Linked DNA regions of Diceros bicornis minor. The protein of the gene in region 1 interacts with the protein of each later gene in a biochemical or structural test. Links are inferred from orthologs where the notes say so. Each region holds a gene or a part of one and is shown on either strand. Other genes may lie near its edges.

What was found.
Region 2: of the proteins of UBE3A (region 1) and RAD23A, one has a biochemical effect on the other in vitro, tested with the Homo sapiens proteins (9 studies listed by BioGRID, with this or other methods). The link is inferred for Diceros bicornis minor from reciprocal best matches to the Homo sapiens genes UBE3A and RAD23A.
Region 3: the proteins of UBE3A (region 1) and ubiquitin-conjugating enzyme E2 E1 form a complex in vitro, tested with the Homo sapiens proteins (2 studies listed by BioGRID). The link is inferred for Diceros bicornis minor from reciprocal best matches to the Homo sapiens genes UBE3A and UBE2E1.

The regions. Positions count from the first base shown.
Region 1 is NC_080744.1:75,727,804-75,735,556, forward strand, and holds the start of UBE3A (ubiquitin-protein ligase E3A), read left to right. Parts: upstream 1-4,752; 5' UTR 4,753-4,853; coding exon 4,854-4,873; intron 4,874-6,400; exon of another isoform or gene 6,401-6,596; intron 6,597-7,753. UniProt on the Homo sapiens protein: E3 ubiquitin-protein ligase which accepts ubiquitin from an E2 ubiquitin-conjugating enzyme in the form of a thioester and transfers it to its substrates.
Region 2 is NC_080769.1:4,461,329-4,468,620, forward strand, and holds the start of RAD23A (UV excision repair protein RAD23 homolog A), read right to left. Parts: upstream 3,075-7,292; 5' UTR 2,986-3,074; coding exon 2,914-2,985; intron 1,525-2,913; coding exon 1,363-1,524; intron 1,195-1,362; coding exon 1,013-1,194; intron 874-1,012; coding exon 818-873; intron 689-817; coding exon 561-688; intron 283-560; coding exon 204-282; intron 77-203; coding exon 1-76. Other genes in the region: CALR (calreticulin), read right to left, coding at 5,362-5,562, 5,647-5,739, 6,354-6,497, 6,584-6,697, 6,779-6,988, 7,079-7,173. UniProt on the Homo sapiens protein: Multiubiquitin chain receptor involved in modulation of proteasomal degradation. Binds to 'Lys-48'-linked polyubiquitin chains in a length-dependent manner and with a lower affinity to 'Lys-63'-linked polyubiquitin chains.
Region 3 is NC_080741.1:28,971,451-28,979,109, reverse strand, and holds the start of ubiquitin-conjugating enzyme E2 E1, read right to left. Parts: upstream 3,075-7,659; 5' UTR 2,924-3,074; intron 1,825-2,923; 5' UTR 1,792-1,824; coding exon 1,640-1,791; intron 1-1,639. UniProt on the Homo sapiens protein: Accepts ubiquitin from the E1 complex and catalyzes its covalent attachment to other proteins. Catalyzes the covalent attachment of ISG15 to other proteins. Mediates the selective degradation of short-lived and abnormal proteins.

The DNA.
Region 1 (7,753 bases):
ACTAAGAGGACAGCAAGATTAGGCACATTCAGGTTGGAGTGAGTTTTTTGGGAAATCATTGAGTTTGATTTTAGGTGCTGAGATATCCAAGTGTATGTGTATCATTGGTAATTGAGAGTAGCAGGCTTATAACTCAAGAGATAAACTCTTAAAGATGTAGAGTTAGGGATTCTAAGTATAAAGTTGCTATGGGAATGAATGACAATGCACAGAGAGTTAATTTAGGTTAAGAAAAGGGGCTAGTGATAGAAACTTGGAGAGTGGTCATGAATGAGGCATAGGAAGGTGAGCTAGCCGAAAACCTAGTTGCTGTCAGAGGTAGAAGAACCTCTGACAGGTGGGTACAGCATTATGGAAGCCAGGGGAGGTGAGAGATGGTTAGCAGTGTGAAATGCTACAGAAATAAGGTAGGAGTAAGGGGCCACAGGATTTAGAATGTACAGGAATGATGATGACTTTTATAAGAAACATTTCAGTAGGTGGAAGGTTTTGTGTATTAGCAGCTGAGCTAATAGTTTTCAGGTCTTTCTGGCAGTTAAAGGAAGGAGAATAAGGAAATGATACTTTAAGGGGTTAATGGAGTTGAGGGAATTATGTTGAGAGTTTGAGAGTGTTATATGAAAGCAGTACTTAAAAATTTTAGTCTGTAGAATAAACTAGAATGAGTAGAGCCTAAAGGCAGGAAGACTTAAGTTAAGCAAGGAAGTTATTAAAACAGTCTGGTCATTAGTGAAATTTATAAATATACAAAACTTAAAGAGTTTCAACAAACAGCTTTACCCATAAATGTAAGACACCATAAACATGGTGCAGAGGAGAACAGAAGTGCTGAGTGGACACAATAAAAAAGGGATAGAAAAAGTAGTCTGTGAAATTGTTTGACCTAGGTTTAGAAGGAGGTGAAGGAAATAGGCTATTGGAGAGGAGATGAAGGACATACTAGATGTAATAATAATAAAAATATATATGTATGTGTGTATAAATATTTATACAGAGAGGGAGGGAGTGTTGGCAGATGGACTATTTTAAAAATAAATGAAAATGTTAGCAGGGCAGGTGAATGTAGATTGATATAGGCATTTCTTATTATTGGGTTACATTTCTTTTTCTTTTTTTTTTTTTTTGTGGGGCGATCAGCCCTGTGCTAACATCTGCCAATCCTCCTCTTTTTTTGCTGAGGAATACTGGCCCTGGGCTAACATCCGTGCCCATCTTCCTCCACTTTATATGGGACGCCGCCACAGCATGGCTTGCCAAGCGGTGCGTTGGTGCACGCCCGGGATCCGAACCAGCGAACCCCAGGCCACCGCAGCGGAGTGCGCGCACTTCACCACTTGCGCCACCGGGCCCGCCCCTTGGGTTACATTGCTTATTCTTAGATTATTAGATTGAGCCCTCTGTTGGAGAGGGACACAGATATAAATAAAATGAAGGCATTAGGTCTGGTATTAGAGTGCTAATGGTTAAATTTGTAAAGAGTATACCTAACATTTCTGGTGCTTACAGTATCTGTTACTTATACTGTATCCTCTATGATTATGTGTTCCTAATCTAAGGAAAAGTTTCTCAAATTGGAGTCTGCACATCACCTGAAATGTACGTTAAAAATACAGATTCATGCACTGCAACTTTATTCACTGAATCACCGTCTCCAGAGGTAGAGATCGAGTATCTGCATTTTTTACAGATTCCCCAGGTGATTTTGTTATAGAATAGAGTGTGAGACTCAGTCCTCTAGGCTTAAAACTTGGTTAATTTTTAAAAAAATATTTATATGCAGTGTATTCATTTTCTACCCCTGTAGAACACTGAGTGGGCTTCTTAATCTTTGGGACATGATTTCTTCATATATAATAAAAGGAAATGGATTAAAAGACTTCAGTTTCTGTTCCACTGAGAAATGCTCTGATTGAATACAAATGAGTTAAGAATTTACAGTGATTATTTTAGTGCATGCTTTAAGCTTCAGAATTTGGATTTTTGTGAGTTAACTTTTGATATATTAAATGTTTGATTTAAGAAATAATAGTTGCTCCCATGTATTGTGGCCCTATTAGTGCCAGGCAGCACTGTCCTACATACTGTTAAAACATTTTCTCTAATACTGTCAGCAACATGTCTGAGACTCGGGCCAAAGGACCTGCCCAAGGCTGCTCCTCCAGGAGGTCATGAACAAATGCCCATATATGTACCTAACATAGCAGGTGCTCAGCGTATAGGATTTAATTAAAAGCTAAATTCCTATAGGTATCTGAAGGAATTTGAGGAATGTAGTCAAACAGGTTTCATGTATTTTCAGCCCTTATGGAGGGAGACAAGAGTAAAGAAATGGCAAGCACTAAGCTCTGTGGATGAAAATGGGAAACATGGCTCTACCAGCTAAAAGTACTCAGGCCACAGGGTCTGCCTAACGACCTTCCATGCATCCTGGCAACAGCAGTAGGGGCATTTGTCTCTTGATATGTTTTTGGATATTCATGAATATTATAAAGAAATAAATTTCCTTTTATAATAAATGTTAGGAAAAAGTTTTCCCTTTGAAAGTTTATCCAGTTGTCTATGTAAAAAGAATTGAGTGAGGTGTTTTATATTTTAGGTTAAAAATCTGTAAGAGCCTGATTTTAGAATTCACCAGCTCCTCAGAAGTTTGGCGAAATATGGTATGTTTCTGTTTTATTTTTTGGAATTCAAAATTGCATGTGTATCTTAATGTCATGGTTAGAGTAATGAAAAATGTATTCAGCAAATTTGGGTGCCTGCCATTTTTAAAGCCTTGCGCTAGGTGCTGAATCACTATGCTACCAGGTAGACTGTATGAGGGACCCAAGTGGGATTCTGAAAGAATTTAGAAGAGGTTAGTGTGCTGTGAGAAGTAAAATAATATGCATAAGAAGATTGAGGAGCAGTGTGGCTGTGAGGCTCTGAGGTAATAATAGATTCCATTTGTTGAGCTCCTACTACGTGCCAGGCACTGTTCTGAGCAATTTGTACGTTAGTCTGTTCATCCTTGTGACAGCCCTCTGAAAGAGATACTACTATCATTTTAGTTCTACCTATGCAGAATCTGAGGCTCAGAGAGGTTAAGTAACTTGCCCAAGATTTCCCATCTAGTAAGTGACCAAACAGGGACTTGAATCCACACTGGCTGTGGAGCCTGTTTGTGCAGTGTTGGGCACTGGAACTCATGAAAAAGGGGGACTAGAAGAGAGAACTTGACTGAGTAGATTTCATAATACATGTAACTCTTTAATGAATTAATTTACCTCAGTTAATTAGTCAATTAAAAGGTATTATAACTTTTTCATTTTTATGTTTACAGGTTTGGATTAGTCTTATGAGAACCCAAGAGGGAGCAGTGTTCATTTCAGGGGTGCCATTCCTTTTCTTCATACGACCTCAGGAATGTTCTGGGTTCATATTAGGAGACATGTAGCTATGATAGGAAAATCTGAGAAATTGAATTATGCCTTCCAGGGATTATAAGTTCCATTTATTGGAGTCCCCTAAAATTTCTTATGTATATGTAGGCCAACTCTCACCCTTATATGAATTAGAATCCCAAGTTCATAGGCGGCGGAGGTGTGGGCTCAGGCATTGATGTTTCAGCCCTTCTCTTGGGGTTCTCAGATACCTTGCTGTTCTATATTGGGTTCTGACCCATGCTGGTAACCATCTTCTGTGGTTGTCTGTTGTCACTTTGAAGGTGTTAACTATCAAGGGTCTTTTTTTTATCTTTCCTTAGTTTGCTTTTTAGAATTGACCTGGATACACAGTTTGGTAGGGAAATCATCAGGGGAGAAACTAGTTGCATGGATTGAGCTTTTGGTACTGGGATATTTCAGATGTATATCTTTGCCAGAACTACAATATGATTAGAATACATGATAAATTTGAACCGTGACAATCAGGAAAGTTCAGCTAAGGCCAAATAAGGGGATCAAAAGATATTAGGTTGAGGGAGGAGGAAGTGTTTTCATATTTTGCCATTCTCTCTCATGAAATTGAATATGAATGGATTTATGGCTGAGAAAGAGTGGAACATGTTTTCATGAAGTACCCAAGGGGTTTTGGCTAGTGTTAGATCACCCTACTTAAATGTAGAATAAGTAGGACTAGACTTTGGTGTATATATGTGTGTGTGTGTATATATATGTATATAACTATTCCATTAAGCATTTGGCTACCTGGAACCTATGACTGTTAGTCTCATTTAAACTATTGTGGGGTCTCAATCCATATTCTAAGTTTTTGCTCCCTTATGTATGTTTAAATCATAGAACTCTGTATAGCAAAATTTAAACCAAATCAAAAAATGCTAACCCTGGATAGGAAGTCAGTAGATCTGGGTTTTAGTTCTAGCTTCAACACTAATTCTAAAATCTTGGGCAAGTCAGTTAATCACTCTAAGGGTGCTTAATTTTTTTTTTTTTAATTCTTAGTATAGTATCTACCCTGATTAGGTAGAGCCAAAGTTGTCATGGGAGTCAAACAAGATAGTGTTGACTAAAGTGCTCCATAAACTGTAATGCTCCATAAAAGTACAAAAAATTATTGCCACATTTTCTCAAGTGAAGAGATAATTTAAGGGAAAAAAATGCTGGAAAATAGTCCTTAAACACGTTTCTGTATTAATTACTCTTCTGACGAACATTGCGTTGATACCTAATTCAAAGCTTTGAAGATTATTTTTTGAACAATGAATTGGATTTATATATTAAAGTGTTCTAACCAAAGATTTGTTTAATTTATTAGAGTTATTAAACCTACGCTCAGATCAAGTTAGCAGCTAGACTGGTGTGACAACCTGTTTTTAATCAGTGACTCAAAGCTGTGATCCACCCTGATGTCACCGAATGGCCACAGCTTGTAAAAGGTAATTTTGAATGTTATTTTACAGCCTTTAAAAGGCTGTCATTGTAAAGTAAAATATGTGCTGTATAAAATGAAGAAAATGTATAGTTGGCAGGAATACTGCTAAGAATAGTGGACCTAAGAGTTGACATGCTTATCCATGTAATCTCCTGTCTAAAATATTTCGTGCTTTTGTCCCCCAGACCTATCTGTATGAACAACAGGAAAGCATTTCTCAAAAATTTCAAGTTTTTAAATAAACATTTTATTATGAACCTTATAAAACCTATGAAAAACTTAATATGCATTTTAAAGTGTACCTTTAATGTGGTGAGAGTTTTAACTAAACACTTCTCTAGAAGTTTTTACAATTTTAATAAAACTAGTATACTTTTCTGTCCTAGAGAGTTACAGTGGAGGTCAAAGGAGTGGTTTGCAGGCTGGAGAACCTACACTCACTATTATTGGAAGTGAGCCTCCATTTGAGTTTTCTAGCTCATGCTGCAGAATTCAGATTAGTGGGCATTTGTGATCACGTTTTCTGTGATCCAAATCAAGACCTAAAATTGAGACTCTTCCAAGATTTATTTTTTATTTTCTAATGTTACTTGCTTATTGTTTCAGTTTTAAAATTTCTGACTTGTTATTCTGACAAACTTTAGGTTAACCTAAGTCAATGGTTCTTGTTTTTTCCCCCTTTGATCACATGTCCTGAATTTGGTAAAATTACTAGTGTGTACTGGATCCTTACTTCCAACATCTTGACAGTAAAGAATAAAGAGACTCTTTAGGGGCCAAAGTAAAGCTTGGAAACTATGTTAGATATTAGATATTTCATTGTTTTGAGAATTTGAATCCTAACTTCAGGATATTTTTTTGTAAATTATTTAGAATATTGTAGAAATATACTCTAAGCAGAATGACTAGAAATTTATTCCAACGTGTACTCTTACTACTCACTGCAAGAAAATATTTCTACTAGTTCTATGTATATTCACTTTTCTCTTGATTAAAAAACAATTCCCATTTTGAGTAGAAAACAACTTGTGCTAACCATGTTTAAGACACCCAGGATAGATCTGTTTTAGGATAATAATCTTTCAGTCTTCTCTTATTCTTTTGTCCTTTTAGACTGAATTGGTTTAAAGTACTTGGTTTGACTAATGGCTTTTAGTAGCTCACTGTAATATATGTTAATATTAAATGATAATCTAGTATGTTTACAATAATTTGATGACATTTTGATGCTAATGTTTACGTATTCTCTTATTTGGGGAAAGACATTGGAAAATAGAATGTAGTTACTATTTGTTGATGTATTTAACCTCTATCCCATTTCAGAATCTCAAAACTTTGCAGCAGTTATAAGTTGTGCTTCTAAGACTCAGATTTGTTTTTCTTCTTGCTTGTGTCTTACCTTTTTGCAGCAGTATTTTAATTTTCCTGTCATTGTGTCATCATTTTTTTCCCTCTCTCTCTTTCCCTGTTAATTTTGAAAGTTTTGCTGCCTACATGTTTGAAAGCTTCTAATCTGCCTCTCTTCCCTTAGTGCCAGCAGATTTATTTTTTGTTTTGCAAGCCTGCTCTGCCTCCTTACAGTATGACATCTGATGCTGGAGGGTCGCACTTTCAAAAATGAGTCAGCTGGTACATGGGGTTATCATCAGTTTTTAGCTCTTCTGTCTGAGAGATACAAGTTTGGAAGCAATCTTGGGGTACTTACCCACAAGGCTGGTGGAGACCAGGTGTGTCACAAAGGTGATTTGCTTGCTCCCTGGGGGAGAGGGTGGAGTGAAATTTTTGCATTTGTGTCACTGCCAAGTCACTGCCACCTCCAGCATGCCTCAATTTTTAGTTGCAATGTAATTTTGTACAAAACTGAAAATATAAATACACAGCAAAGAAGATCTAAAAATTAATATTTGAGCTGCTGGAGTCTTTTTTTTTTTTTTTTTTTCCTTGCATTCTTGTCCTTGGACTCTGAACGCACTGCAGTGAGGGGTAATTTTGAAAGTCTGATAAAGAAGTGAGTTTTTTAAGAGCTAAGAAATGTGGAAACAGATTTTTTTTTTTTTTTCCTTGCTGGTGAATCTGATTTTAAGATTCTTTTGTTAAAGTTGTTCAGAATTTGAAGTCTCAAGTCAGTGATAAATTCACAAATCAAGTCCTTGGAATGTCATTTTGAAAATTTATCTTTTGACCTCTAAAAAGTATTTTACCTATTTTGAGAATTTGAAAGTATTAGAAATCAGTATTATGTTGATTCACTTTAATATACATTGACTGATGCTGTTTATAAAAGTAAATAGGGTAACAGGGATTTATTTTTTTAACAGTGTGGTAGGGGTAGGCAAAATTGGTTCATACCCCAAAATGAAATTAAAAGGCTTCTTTTGTGTCTTTGAATTTTGAATATTTCTACATAAGGTAGCAGTAGATTAAAAAAGTAATAGAAAGTAACTAGCAACTATTTATAATTGAAGTCAGTTCACAATTACCCACAGCAAAATTTTAATACCTCAGGATGGTACACTTTTGATAGGTAGTACATCCTATCCTGCCACTGTTTTTTCAGGGAAAGCTAATTTCATTGTTGAACCAAGATAATCATGATCAGAATGATAAATTTGACTTAAGTGTCTTAAAATTCAGGAAGGCTGTTAGATTTACATGTAAATTATCTAGAGCAGAGGTTAGCAAACTTTTTCTTAAAGGGCCAGATAATAAATATTTTAGGCTTCGCGGGCCATGTGTTTCTGTCAGTTTCTCAGCTCTGCTCGTGTAGTACGAAAGCAGCCATTGACAATATGTAAATGAACGAGTATGGCTGTGTTCCAGTAAAACTTTACAGAGATAGGTGGCTGACCCAGACCTTAGTTTGCTGACCCCTCATCCAAAGTTT
Region 2 (7,292 bases), on another chromosome or scaffold:
GGGTTCTGCTGAATCACCTGCCGCATGTTCTGGAATTGCGGCTGGTCTCGCAGGAACTCCAGGGGGTTCTCTCCCGCTGGCAGGAACAAGGTGTGTGGTCAGATACCACACTGGACTCCCAGAAGCACGGGGGTGGGGGGTGGGGGGGAATCAGATGTCTCGACAGCAGACAGCCCCCCACGAACGGCTCCCAGTCCACTCACCTGTTTCTGTGGTCGGCGGCTCAGACACCTGGCTCTCCTGGACAGAACCGGGTTCTGGCTCAGGGCTCCCAGGAATTCCCTGTCAGGGGTCCCGTTTAGTTCCAACACACAGACCGCCCACCATCTCCCTCCTGCGTGCTCAGCCCTGGCAGGAGACAGGTGAGGCCTGGGCCCTCCCTCCACTTCCCTCCCTCCCCCACCCGCTGCTCATGTGCAGCCTCCCGCAGGAAGCCTTCCTGGCTGGAACCACGACCCAAATACTTTTGGGGGCAGGTTTTGCCTCCCTGACCACCCCCCAGAGCATTGAAGCCCACGTCCTCCCTCGAGGCCTCCCCAGGAAGCAGCAGCCCCCCTCACCGTGAGCAGATACTCCACGGCCCGGTGGGGGTTGTTGTAGCTGGCTCTCAGGGCGGCCACGACACGCTCCCGCTCATAGCCCATGGACATGATCTCCGTCAGCATCGTCTCATACTCTGAGCCCGTCACTGTGGAGGGAGCGGCGAGGCCTGGGTCACCAAGGAGAGAGGACAGCTCCCAGGCCCTCCCACACCCATACAGGGCCCAGCTGATGGCTCGGGCGCCCAGTCACTCTGCCCTGGGGACCACCCACCCACCTAGCGTGGAGGCCGCGTCTTCCTCTCGCCCGCTGCTACCTGAAGAGGGAACAGAGCTGCAAATTCAAGAAAGAGAAATCGGACCCTGGCTTCTGGCTGCTTGCCCTCCCCCCAGGTGTGTGGGATCACGTAAGTGGGCGCTGGAACATGCTGGGAGAACAGGGCCCAAGCTGGGACTGCCGCTCCTTGCCTTACCCTGACACGGACTCCGGGGACGTCGTGGGGACTGATTCCTCCGATGGGCTCTTGTCCTCTCTGTCGGTGGGTGGGGGTTGGGACATGCCTGAGGCAGGGGCCGGAGGGAAGGTTGTGGAGGACTCTGGGGCAGCAGTGGGTGAGGCCTCTGGGGGTACTGAAGTGCTTGGGCTAGTTTTGGCCTGTGACACCCAGAAAAAGAGAGCAGACATCAGTATCCCTATCTAGCGCCCACACCCCGCCCCGTCTCAGCCCCGCCTGTTCACGGCTAATCTCTCCTGGGCACACACAGCTCTCTGCCAGCTCCCCAGCTAATCCACCCACCCTTCCAACGAGCACACTGCACCCACCTTGGTCACCATGACGACCACAAAATTCTTCTCATCGATGCGATAGTCCCTAATGGGGACATCATCGCTCAAGATCTTGCCAGCATAGATGAGTTTCTGTCCGGCCACAGGGAAGGCATCACGACCCTTCTCAGCTTCTATCTTTTCCTTTAGCACTTTCACCTGCAGGGACGGGGACAGTCATTGCAAACCCCAAGAGTCTCTCTCCCTTCCTAGCTTGGGGGGGAGAGGCTGCAGGCCCTGACGGCAGAGGCTACACTTCGTAGTCAAGCACGCTGGATTTGAGTTTGTTCCTTCATCTCACCACTCAGCAGGGTATTTACTGAGCACTCGTTATGGATCAGGGGCTGTTTCAGGCACTGAGAAGCACAGCAGGGAACAGAACTTCACGCAAGTCCCTGCGCTCATGGAGGTGACACTAATGTGGGGAGATGAAAAAAACAAATATATATCTCAGATGGCGAAAAGTATGATGAAAAGTCTATCAAAATACAGGGGCAGATGGAAGGGTTCCTCATTCCACACTACTGACAACGGTGTTTTTACTGAATGCATCGTAAGGTGATAGCGCTTTCATAAACGTATACACATCACGCTTTTAGAGCCTCATAATAACTGTATGACATGGACATCATTAGCCTCATTTTACAGTATTTGAGAAAACAAGGCACAGAGAGGTTAAGTAACTTGCTGCAAGTCAAACAGTTGGTCGGGACAAAAAAAAAAAAGAGTGTTTCCTCTCCCACCAAAAGCGGACTTCAACGTCTCCCTCATGACGTAGTTGTGCAAAAAGCACCAGGGACATAGTCAGACACTTGACATACTTGTGACGTCCTAAGTCTCTTCCAGCTAAAAAGGCAACATAACGTTCAGACCAGGGGCTCTCACACGAGCAGGAGCGAATTTGCATCCCAGCTCTGCCATAACTTGCTGTCCGCGACTATGGCACAGTGCCTCAACCCCTAGATTTCCGCATCTGCAAATTAGGGCGAGTCAGAGGCCCAAATGACAAGCCTGTTTTGCACATTTAGTAAGATAATAACACTACAGCACTCTGCGACTGGAAAAGAATAAACGGCCAGCAAACACAGACCACTGAAACGCACACGATTTATTGTCATTATCGTCGTCGTTGCCGTCACCACTCGGCATCTCCTGGTCACTACTCCCAGGTTCGGCCACCAGCGTCCCGAGGAGACGCCTGCAAAGCTGGGAGCTCGGAGACCCGGTCCTGGAGAGCGCGGCGGGGCCGGGAATCTGAGCCTGCGGCTCCCGCGCCCCGTGAGGGCGCTGACACTGGAGCCGGAGCCTGGCGGGCGCCCGGGGGTGGGGCCTCGCCCGGAGCCCAGCCCCTGAGCACCGCCCAAGTGGAGTCGCCAGGGGTTGGGCTAGGCTGGGCACCATCGGGGGGTCCCGGAAAGTCAGGCAGGGTGGGCAGGGTCCGGCCCGCGCCGACCTCCCCGCCCCTCCCGTCGGGATCCCGGCCTCCCCGCCCCCACCCCACGCCCAGCACCCGTCGCTCCCCCCCCCAGGCTCCGGCCCGGCTCGCACCGTCTCGTCAGGCTCCATGCGGATCTTGAAGGTCTGCTGCTGCAGCGTTTTGAGCGTGATGGTGACGGCCATGGCGGGGCCCGAGCGACGCGGCAGCCCCGGGATCCTCACACAACATGCAACTCACGCCGCCGCCATCTTAGCGCCCAGCCGCGCCGCACGCCTACCGCTTCCGGGGCAAGCGGTGCGCGCGCCGACCACCAGAGCACGTGACCTGCGCGCGCCCCCTTGGCCTCCTTAGGCATGCGCACGAGAGCGCCCTCGGGCCAGGCATGCGCAGATTAGAGACCGCTCCGCGGGAGGGGAGGGGGCTTCTCGCTCAGCGCGCACACCCATCAGGTGGCTTCTTGCGAGTGACGCCATGCCCGTTAGCGGTGACGTCATGCGGCCACAAAATGGCTCCGGGGTCCCCACTTTCACGCCCTTATTAGCTTGTTATTTGTGGATAACGTTGAACAAAATTTTTCATGTACTTGCTCTAGATATTTGTATTTCTTCCATAAAATCCTTGTTCGTGTTTTTTTGCTGCTCCCAAATGAGTTTTATTCTGGTCTGGCCACCCTGACAGGAACCCTGTCAAGCACTGAAAAGTGGAAATTCTAAGGAACAAGTCTGGCCGTGGAAGCAAGGACATCGGGCCATTTGGTGGCGTCGTTCATTCCTGAGGGACAGCTGGATTTGGGGAAGGAACCTGCAGTTCTAGTTCCTGGGTCTCCCAGTTCTCTGCTGTCCCACCCCACTATCTCCAGTCTGATCCCCAAAGTATTTAAGAAAGATGTTAACTTTCAAGGTCTCCCTACATTGAATACAGAATTCCCTCAACTTGCCCTGGATGCACAACTCTGCAGGCTTCCCAGAGGGCTGGGGCTGGGCCACAGGACAGAAACTTGAAGGAGGCCCATCCAAGGAACAAGGAATTAAAGTGTTGGCTGGCCAAAGGTGAAGACGGGGCTTGGGGGACTGGATGGAGGTGAGAGTGGGCTTATCTCACAGCTGGTTGGGGGGGAGGGGCCCTATCCTGCTCTGACCCTTGCCTGCCTCCAAACTTCTTCTCAGAGTTTCCATTCAAGCTGGGCACCAGGCAGTCACGTGATACCTCACCCACTGCCCCACTGTAACCAGGTCCTGCTGCCTCTCCCTTCACTGCATGCCCTGGCACAGAAGCTTCTACCAGAATAGGCCAGGCTCAGCTGACGGCTTCTTACCTCTCTCCTGCAACAAGGGACATCAGCTTCCAACCACTCACAGGCCTTCAGTGGCAGCCTTGTGGACCTTAGGCCAGCCTCAGGGGCCCAGACACCACTCTGCTATCTCTGCACCCCCCCTCAGGGCCACCTTTCCCTTCAAGAGGTTCAAATCCAAACTTCACCACTGAAGACCACGGACAAGCTATATACTGTCTCTGAGCCGACCTCCTTGATTATAAAGGAATTAATAGCTTTTACCACTGGCTGGTATTAAGAAAATCTTTAAAATTGTCCAATTGCTCTACCCAGTCTTGCCTTACCTTGATAGGTAAGAAATATGTATGGTTCAGTAACAGGGACAGGATGAGATGGTGGCTCAGGTGTGGGTTCATACCCGTGCCCCACCTCTTACCAGACTGTGGACCTCAGTCTCCTCAAACTGAATTGGTACTAGAACCGAAACTCATCACTTTGGTGCAAGGACTCTGAGTTAATACGTGGAATATCTGTAATGGCATTTAAAAGTTACTCTTCTCCCACTAGTCTGGGGTTGTGGGGGTAAACAAGGGCCCCTCTAACCTTATGGGACACTCAGCCAACTTTAGTGGCTGAAAAATGAGTCTTACTCAAGAGTCACCTCCCCCAGAAGGAGACACAGGAGGAAGACACAAAACTTAATTTAATAGAAATTCTGTTTGTAGTTCTTACATTCTCAGTGTGAACCGAGCTGGAACCTGCTGCCCCACCCAGAAGTGGCCCAGTCCTGGGAGCAGGGGAGAAAGGGAGGGGGTGGGGAGGTCAGAGCTCACGCCCTAGAGCTCAGGGCCTAGGAGCCCCATTCTTGCTCAGTGCTGGGCGACTGGGGACGCCACCCTCTTCTCCTGCCCTGCTCTGGGAGCCAGGACCGAGAGCAGATGGAATCTCGGGCCTGGGGCTTCTCCTCCACACCCCTCATGCCCCCAGATTGGAAAGGAACTAAGGGATCTGGGGAAAGAAGGGACCAGAAGGCGGCAAAGATGTCAATCAAGAAAGATGAGAACCCTGGGGTGAAGATAAAGGAGCACGAGACAAAACACCAGGTTAAAAAAAAAAAAAAAAAAAAAAAAAGCGGGAACAACAAAACTAAAATCCACCCCAAATTGGAACCCGCCTGGAAAAAAATGAAAGTTCTCCAGTCTCATAGAGACATTATTTGGCGTGGCCGGCTCTGCGGCAGGAGCGCTCAGGCCTCAGTCCAGCCCCGGAGGCGGTGGCACGGCCCCTACAGCTCATCCTTGGCCTGGCCAGCGGCAGCGTCTTCCTCCTCATCCTCCTCCTTGTCGTCCTCATCGTCCTCGTCCTCCTCCTTGTCGTCCTCATCTTCCTTGTCCGCCTCCTCCTCCTCCTTACGCTTCTTGTCTTCCTCCTCCTCCTTTAGCCTCTGCTCCTCGTCCTGCTTGTCCTTCATCTGCTTTTCCGCCGCCTGCGTGCAGACCACACGCTCAGGGCCTGGCCCCCGCGTGCCAGCCCTGCCCACCCCCAGCCCAGGACCGGACCCTGGGCCCACCTTCGTGACGCCCCACGTCTCGTTGCCAAACTCCTCTGCATACGCCTCGTCGTTGGTGATGAGAAAGTTGTCAAAGATGGTGCCAGACTTGACCTGGGGGGACAGGGGGAGAGAGGGAGGGGTGGTCAGAGGGGGCACCCCATGGTCCTGGCCTTGGACAGGGCTCCTACCCGCGTCCCCATAACCACTACACAACGCTGCAGTCTAAGTGCGGTTAAAACACACATAACCTGGGTTCGAACCCCAGCTCCTCCATTTCCTGCCTGTATGACCTCGGGCTGGTCACTTCCTTGCACCTCAGTTTCTTCCTCTGTAAGATGGGGTCTCACTCCTTGTTCAAGCATTGTTCCAGTTCCTACTATGTGCCATTCTAGGCACAAAAGGTGTATCAGTAAAAAAGAAACAAAAGTTTAGTCCCATGAAGCTAATTTTCTAATGGAGTTATCTAATCACCTTCTAGGTTGTTGGCACCAGTTAACAGGGTTGATCTGCATAAAGGTACTAGGAGAAGTACCTGGCACGTAAACAGAACCTGTAAGTGGCTGCTGTGACAACTCCATAGAGACAGAGCAAGAAATTCTTCAGAAAGAGCACCACCTTGGGGTCAGACTTGCCTAGGGTTCAATGCTACCCCTGTCCCTTTTCTCCTGCGTGACTCGGAGCACCTGAAGTCCCCTAGGAGTCCTCCTCTTCCCTCTATGTCTCACCTGCCAGAGATCCAGGCCCAGTACAGCAAAGTTTTCATAGGCGTAGATGTTGCTATCTGGAGAGTATTCGGGGTTGTCGATCTCTGGGTGGATCCACGTGCCCTTGTAATCTGGGTTGTCGATCTGCCGGGGCTTCCACTCGCCCTGCAGAGGGAGAAGGGAACCGGACGGTGAGCGGGACAGTGCACTCCTCACTGTGTGCTCCCGGCTGCTCCGAGCCCCAGACTCACCTTGTACTCTGGGTTCTGGATCACTGGTGGTTCCCATTCTCCGTCCATCTCTTCGTCCCAGTCCTCTGGCTTCTTAGCATCGGGATCAGGAATGTGCTCAGGCTTGTCCCAGTCCTGAGGGCACACGAGGAGGTCAGAGTTGGCCCCACTCTCCTCCACACCCTCCACGGTGGGGGGCCCTGCCCAAGCACCAACCTCAGGCTTGGAATCTGTGGGGTCATCAATCTTAGCCCGTTCGTCCCAGTCTTCGGGCTTCGCAGCATTGGGATCCTTTATTTTCTTGGGGGGCAGGAAGTCCCAATCGTCCTCCAAGGAGCCCGACTCCACCTGGCTGTTGTCAATCTTCACCTCATAGGTGTTATCTGGCCGCACGATCAGTGTGTACAGGTGTGTGAATTCATCGTCCTGGAGAGGGCGGGAGGTGAGTGGCCCCGCCCACCAGGCTGGCCTCTGAGCCTCCCCCTGGCAGCCCTCTGTCACCACCCCCAGGCACACCTTGCAACGGATGTCCTTGTTGATGAGCACGTTCTTGCCCTTGTAGTTGAAGATGACATGAACCTTCTTAGTGCCAGGGCCACAGATGTCCGGGCCTAGGTGACAAGCAGGTTCAGTTCAAGCTAGAGGCTGCCCACCATTGTGAGCCCCTCCACCCCTCTTTACAAAAAGAAGACAAGATTCAGACTCTGACTCTCTCTAACCGGCTGTGGGT
Region 3 (7,659 bases), on another chromosome or scaffold:
CCCAGGCGTTTCCAAAGAAGTTTTTAACTTCCTTAGCGTAAATGGACAAATTGTGTCTGATGAAAAGTCCCCCTCTGTAATTTGCTGACATAAAGCAGACTATTTTATATTTGACGCCTGTGTCTTCACCCCTAAATATATTTACGTACACCAGGGATCTCCAGCAAAATATAAAAATACAAATGACCCAAAGCAAAATCCTGCCTTAGTCAGGTAGGGCCAAAAGCTGACCCAGCATGGATGAGGGAGCCCAGACGAGACAGATTAAGGGAGGCTCCATCCAAAGTGGGCAGAGAGATGCCAGATTCTGGGAGAACCAGCACAGGGATAACCAGTGAGGGCCGTTAGGACTCCTGGGAAGCTGAGATGCAATCAAACCAACCCTCTGAAAATGAGAACAATCTTGTACAGGCATCTTGCCACTTAACTCTAGACCTCTACACTATTTAAAATAAGCTAAAGTCACTCCTTCATCCGCCCACAGTTAGGTCACCAAAGCACTTTACCAACTTTTCAAATTTCAAGTCAGCAAGAATGACAGAAAAAACTTTCAAACTCCTAATTCCAGGCTCACTACTCAGTGGAAGAGCTCTAAATCCTCATATTCCATTTTATTTTACACTTTTTTAAGAAAGATATGCCTCTCTAACCCACCATTTGGATTCCTTACTGTTTTTCTGGTTTGCCACTTCAAAGTTTAATGACTGTCCACCTTAGAGCAGGAGGATTTATGAAAGGGTATGGGGGGGGGGGACGACCCAGGAATCTGCTATAGATTATTTTAAGGGTCATGGGGATCAGAGGATATTACTGAAGGATGATGGAGATAAAAAGTAGCTTCTTCCAGAGACATATGAGGAGAAGAATAAAGAAAAAGAGCCACTGCTTAAATTCAACTTGAAAAAAATAACACTAGTATAGCATAAGAGAAGAGGAAATAGCATGAAAAAGTGAGTGTCCCTGAAATTTGGTAAATTGAAGTTCTTGAAGAAAACAAAAAAGAATCTCCAAAACAACCTAGATTAACCATTTTACATCATTTATTGATTCATTTGCCTCAACTCTCCAAATCAGAAAAATCTCTTTAAAGGCCATCCAAAAACATCTGTCTCCACCTATTAAATTTTTTACCTCCCTAGTATGAGTTATTCCTTATGCAATTTGTGGAGAAAGCTCTGTTCAAAAAAGATGTATGTGCAACAGGTGAGGAGGAAGTCAGATGGTAACAGAATTCATTTTGATCGAGTTGTCTGGGCAGGCATTAGTAATTAAGTGGGATGACAGCCTTGGGGAGGGTCACAGATTAGTGATTAATAGGACAAGTAATTTGAAATCAGATTTGGGGGTCACTGATAAAAGTAATGAGGATTTTTACAAACTTCAGCAAGAAATGGGAAGAGGCAAGCCACAACGACAGCATGTGGGCAATGATTAAAAGAAAAAAACAGAAAAAGCAATAGAGAAAAACAGTTAGGGCTTCCAAGCCCCTTTTTTCATTTTTAAGAACACATAAACCTTGAGGAGCACTTAAGCTACCCTCATTGGGAGGCCGACCAAATGCACCAAGAAGCAGTTCGGAAAATAGGAAGCCTGTGGGGGGAAAAAATAAAAAAAAAAAAAGGGAGAGAGAGTACGGTACCTCTTGGCGCTGGTGGAGAGGAGTTTGGAGTTTTTGCTCATGCTGACTTTACTCTCCTTCTTCTTGGGGGTGTTTGTTTCTTTCTCGGTTTGCTGGTTGGAGGACGAAGATGAGGAGGAGCTGGTGCTGGCCCTCGAATCGTCATCCGACATAGCGAACCCCCCACCCCACCCCGCAAACAGCCCCTGCAGGGGGAGAGAAACAAAACAGAAACACATCAACCATGCAGCCAGTGTAAATACGGAACTCGGGCGCTGTCAGGAGGGCTCTGACCAGGGGTGCACCCGGCCGCCCACCGCCCTCCACTAGCTTTTCAAAGTCTTCAGGCCCATTAAGGCTTTTGCAAGTCGGACGCGGCTTGTTTATTTTTGGCCCCAAGTGGGGGACGCGGTGGGAAAACGGTCAGGAGCACAGCGAGCGGCCCCTCCCTCGCCCCCCGGGGCTCCCCTCGGGGCAGGGAGGGGACAAGCCGAGCGGGCGGGGGAGGAGGGCAGGGCGGGGGCGCGGGCACCTCGGCGGGGCAGGGAGGGAAGGTCCCGGCCAGCGGCCGGCCTCGGGGCCGTTTCTGTCGGCTTTCCGGGGGTCGCGGGGGCCGCGGCCAGGAGCGGAGTTTGGCGAGGTCGGGAAGCGAGGAGGGCAGAGAGGAGTAAGAGAGGAAGCCGAAACGGGGGGACGGAGGCGAGGAGCGGGTGCCCGGGTGGGGGAAGGGAGAGGCCGGCGGGGGGGCAGGGGCGACAAGGCCGAGGGCCCCCCGCGCCGCGCCCCGACGCCCCTCCCCGCCGGCCTGCCCCTCGGCGACCCGGCTGGGGCTGCGCGGCCGGGGCGGGGGTCCCGGGCACACGCCCGACTGCCACCCTGGTGGGGGGGTGCGAGGGGGGCCTCGGCCTCCTGCGCGAACGAATAACAATGAGCCCGCCCGCCCCGGAGGAGTTAATCCCCGCGGGCCCCCGCCCCAGGGGAAACGGGGCTCCCCCGACTCCCCCTCCCCCGCTCCCGGCCCCCTGGGCGGCCAGTGAGGGGCTCCCGGGGCAGCGCTGACAGTTCGAGGTACAGTGCCCCCCCCGCTCCCGACACGGGCGGCCCCCGCACCCCACGCGGCCCGGGGTCCCTGCCCATCCCCCGCGGGCGGGCCCCGGACCCCTGGGGCTCCCCGGCCCCTCTCCGCCCCCCCCAGCCCCGTGCCCGGCGGCCCGGGTGGCGCGGGTCGGGGGAGGCGGCGAAGGGTGTCCCCGAGGCCCGGCGACGCGGCCGGGGGGCGGCGGGCGGCGGGGGGGATCCCCGTACCTCTCTTTGTGTCTGGCTCCTCCGTGCCGCCGCGGCGGCTGCTGCTGCGGCTGCGGCTGGGCCTGGCCACTCGTGTCTCTCTCTCGCTGGGAGAGAAGCGGAAGTGCAGCAACAGCAACTATTAAACAGGCAATGGCTTCCCCCAGCCACACACGCTCTCACACACACCACTCCTCCTCCTCCTCCTCCTCGCCCTCACCCCTCCCCCACCCGCCCGGTCCCACCCACCCGCGCTCCCCTCCCCCTACACACCTCCGGGGGGACGCGAGGAGGGCACAGGGGACCCCGGGAAACCCTGCCCCCTCCCCACCCACACCCCCACCCCAGCGCCTCCTCGGGACGCCAGGGAAGGGGGCGAGGGGTGTGAATTTCCTCTCAAGTGGTTCGGGGACCTGGATCCTGGGCTGGAGAGGGGAAGCCGTTCCAAGATGGGGGGCGCTGGGAGAGATTGGAACTGTATGGAATAGGGGGGTCACGAGAGGAAGTTCTTTCCAATAAGGGCTTTTGGAAACGGGGGGGGGATTGGTAAATTGGGGGAAAAGATGGTAATCTGGTGGCAAGGACTTTGGACTAGAGAATGCGGCGGGACCTCCTCCTAATAAGTGATCAGTTTAAGGGGAAAAAAATCCCACAACAGGATTTTCCTTTGGGTTGACACTGGCTTCTCCCTCTGGCGATTTACCTGCTAGGAGCAGAGGTCGGTTTAGGCACGCCTGTTAGAAAATCCCAAACTAGGACTTTTCTGCTCAGGCACGTGCAATTTTACAATTTTAGATTCTTCCAGTCACTTTTTATAGAAAGTGGTGGTATTTTATAAAAGGGATACAAAAGATTTCGTGACAGGTAAAACCAACGTGTAACAGGCTTACAAATGTGAGAAATCACTGGGAATAAACCTTATACTACTGAATTATGATTTAGAATTTTTGGTGTCAGCTTACTTTAGAAAGTTTGGTTTTTGGAAATTAGATTAAAAGTTTTGGGGACTTCTGTACCTTCCTCAACTACAATATCAATGCTATTCAAATAATCAATATTTTTAGGTTAATCACTCAGTAATTCCTCTGAATTGTTCCTTATTGAGCATTTTTACCAAGATTAATTTTTTTAAGATTAACCCATGAAATTATGACTTAGCTTCTCACTTATTTGTATTTCGGTTGAAGGAAACTAAAGAGGTGTGTGTAATGCCACACATACAAGGTCTGGTACATTAAGGAGACCGCCCAGTCAGATTTCCATGGGCCACTCTAAATTATCTCAAATTGCCATCCTTTTCCATGGAAACAGTGGCTTCAGTTACCACAGGAGGACACAAGATATAAAGCCCATGGCATATCCACTAACCAGGAAAACAAACATTCTTACCACCCACCTAAACCCTTCTAGCCTTCAACATGAAACTCCAACTGTATCAAGATTCATAAAGTAATTGTGCACAATTCCTGCTCAGTTCTTACTGGGAAACCTGTATCTACCAGGAATTGTCATAGAATCAAGGAGTCCAAAGCTGGAAAAAAACCTTATAGATCATCATTTCAGCCTCCTGCCTCTTACCTCCAGTCAGAGCTATCACTCAGTCACTCAAATGCACAGAAATTGTGAAAAGATCCCCAGACATAAGTGTTTGGTTTCGGGGATCCTGGTAGAGCATATATAAATAATGACACTCCCTGATGTGTGTTATTTGAAAACAACAACAAAAATCTCCTTAAAACCAGGTTGTATACTCTTTGTACTTCGGATGAAAAAGATACAAATTCAAGAGAAAGCAATGAACAAACATGAAATAAACTCAGTTGAGATGAATAAAATAAAGACAGTTATTAAAATGGAAACTTCCTCTTATGAATATTTGGGTTTCTGATACTTTAAAATACACGTCAACACTATGAGTACAACCAGTAAAAAATCATATATGTATAAAGATGAGAGCTGGCAGAGAATACAGGAAAACAAAAGAGTTGACTTGCTGTTGTGACCAGGACAGTGGGTGAATTTTTCACTAATTTTGGTTTGCATAAATTGTATACTTGGATACTAACTCTAATAATATTTTTTTTAAAAACTGAACATGGTTATTTTGTGTTTCATTGTTGATGCTTGGGTTGGACTGGTCCCTGGGGAAATAAATCGTATAACCGAAGGAGTCCTCTTCTATAGGGAACTGCTTTCCCAGCCACCAGTCTGGAAGGCTACTGGCCCTCTTGTGTGCTAGTCCTTATCTCTAACCCTGGTTAGTGCTTTATGGTTTAGGAATGACCTACTGAGGGGGAATAAAAACCTCAAAATGTTTAGAAAAGAATCCATTGCTCTCAAAAGACTAATCTTTATGTCAGATTACTTTAAATATACAGTTGTCTCAGTCACAAAAAAATCAAAATTCATTTGCAGCCTTCCAGGTCTTCTTACTTATTAACTACAAGGCCTAAGGACCTAAAGTGACCTCTCTGACCCTCAGTCTCCTCATCTATAAGGGGCAAAAATACCTGCACCGTACTGACTGGCAGAGTTGTTAGAAGGATCAAATGTGTATCTATAGTAAAATGATTAATTAACTGTTATGCAAAGTAAATTATTAATAATCCCACCCTGATCCTACTGCTCAGGAATTTTGTCAGGACACAGGGTCTTTATGACTTAGAATTGATGACAAGTGTAAGAAACCTCCTAGGAGAAAGATAAAGTCAAGGAATCACAGGATTTTATTTACTCAAAGGGGCCTAAGATATCTTGGAGTTCAAACTCCTTATGTTCCAGATGAAGAAATTAAGGCAAAGAAAGCCAGTACGTCTCATCCAAGGTCATGCAGTAAGTCGGTGGCAAAATTGTGGCTATGGCCCATGCTGCCCACAGATGATTTTGTCAGTTCTGGCAATATTTAGGGGGTGGGGAAGAGCCTCAATTACATTAAAGAAAAATATATTAAATATAAAAGAACTCCAGTAATATTTTCAAGAACATATTAACAATCAAGACAGTTGGGAAAGTGGACAAATGGAACCAAGTTAAAGGAATCACTGATTTTATAACATTTACTTGAACCAATTAATGAACAATATTGATGTTCCTTACACCTCATTCTGAGAATAATAATCATTATTTCATATTTATGGATATATTTCAAGTAGGTAATACATTCTCATGCTATATTATCCTAAAGAAACCAAAGGGTAAGCCACGAAAATCTGCCTCTGCCCCTCCCCCCAACTCTGTGGTAGTCTATGCTTGCAAAAGCAAATGCATACGTATACACTGGATGCTTTGATAGAAATGCTCAATTTACATTTAAAAGATGCATTCAGTCACAGAAGCCCAAGTGGTGCAACACTGTGATATCTGTGGGCTTTAAGAAAATGGGCTTCAGTTTTTACTAATACCTATTCCTGATCTCAAAATGATCCAACTCTCTTCTTCAAGCCATCTTGAGAGTATCAAGTGCATTTAAGTAGGAGCACTTGAAGATCAAGGTGCTGACTGATCCCTAGGTGAAGTGATACAGTTGATTCAGAAGAAAGAGACCCCATCTAACTTTTGAGCACTCCTATTTTTGGCTACTTGCTTACACTGAACTTAAATATTTCATAAAAGCAACAATCCTCTTTGGGGCCAATTTCACATCCAAAGAATTGTCAAGCAAATTAACATTTGTTAATATGGGTTTTTAAACTTACCTTATGACTGGATAGAAAGGATTTCCTTTTTCTGTCAAAAGAAAAAAAATCTTATGTTTGGAATTTAGGAAGAATTTCTGTAAAGGTTTTCTGAAAAGATGGACTCACTGTGGATTTCAATCTACTTGTTTTATTTTCTTTTTTTTTTTTTGTGAGGAAGATCAGCCCTGAGCTAACATCCATGCCAATCCTCCTCTTTTTGCTGAGGAAGACCGGCTCTGAGCTAACATCTATTGCCAATCTTCCTCCTTTTTCTCCCCAAAGCCCCAGTAGATAGTTATATGTCATAGTTGCACATCCTTCTAGTTGCTGTATGTGGGACGCGGCCTCAGCATGGCCAGAGAAGCGGTGCGTCGGTGCGCGCCTGGGATCCGAACCCGGGCCGCCAGCAGCGGAGTGCTCGCACTTAACCGCTAAGCCACGGGGCCGGCCCTTGTTTTATTTTCTGATGCTCCTTTGCCTGAAAAATTCATTCCTTATACGGAAGGATAAGGAAGGTTCGCAAAGAAGGGTCAATTCCATGAAGCCTAATGGGATCTGGGGCTTTTATCTTCAATTCGGGTCATTATTCCATAGGCCTTTTTTTAACACACTGATCTCTTTGAAGGACCCTAAGCGTTGTCAGACTTTATTTGTCCTGAAAGTTGCTATCACAGGAAGCTAGGACAGAGCTAAATTATTTTTTCTACCACATGGAGGCATTGAACAACCATGTGATTTTCAAAATTTACCAAGACTTGATAAGAGTCTAATGCTTTCTCAGGCAAGGGCAAAAAGGTTTGTTTGATGTTGACAAACGGATAATGCTTAGTATGAAAGCATTCTTCTCACCTTATAATTTAGCATCTGCTCTGTAGGGCCTATTCTCTAAACAAACCAGCCTTCTTCAGCCTCCTATACATTGATAACATAAGGACAGACTGTATTGGAATCTACTGGATTGCAGTTTGAGCAGTTTGGTTAGTCTCTGAAACCTTTTCTTGAACTTAACACTTTTTCTGTTTACTAAAATTTGGAGGAATGAAATAGTAGGGAAAAATTACTTTTATTTCACGCACTTAA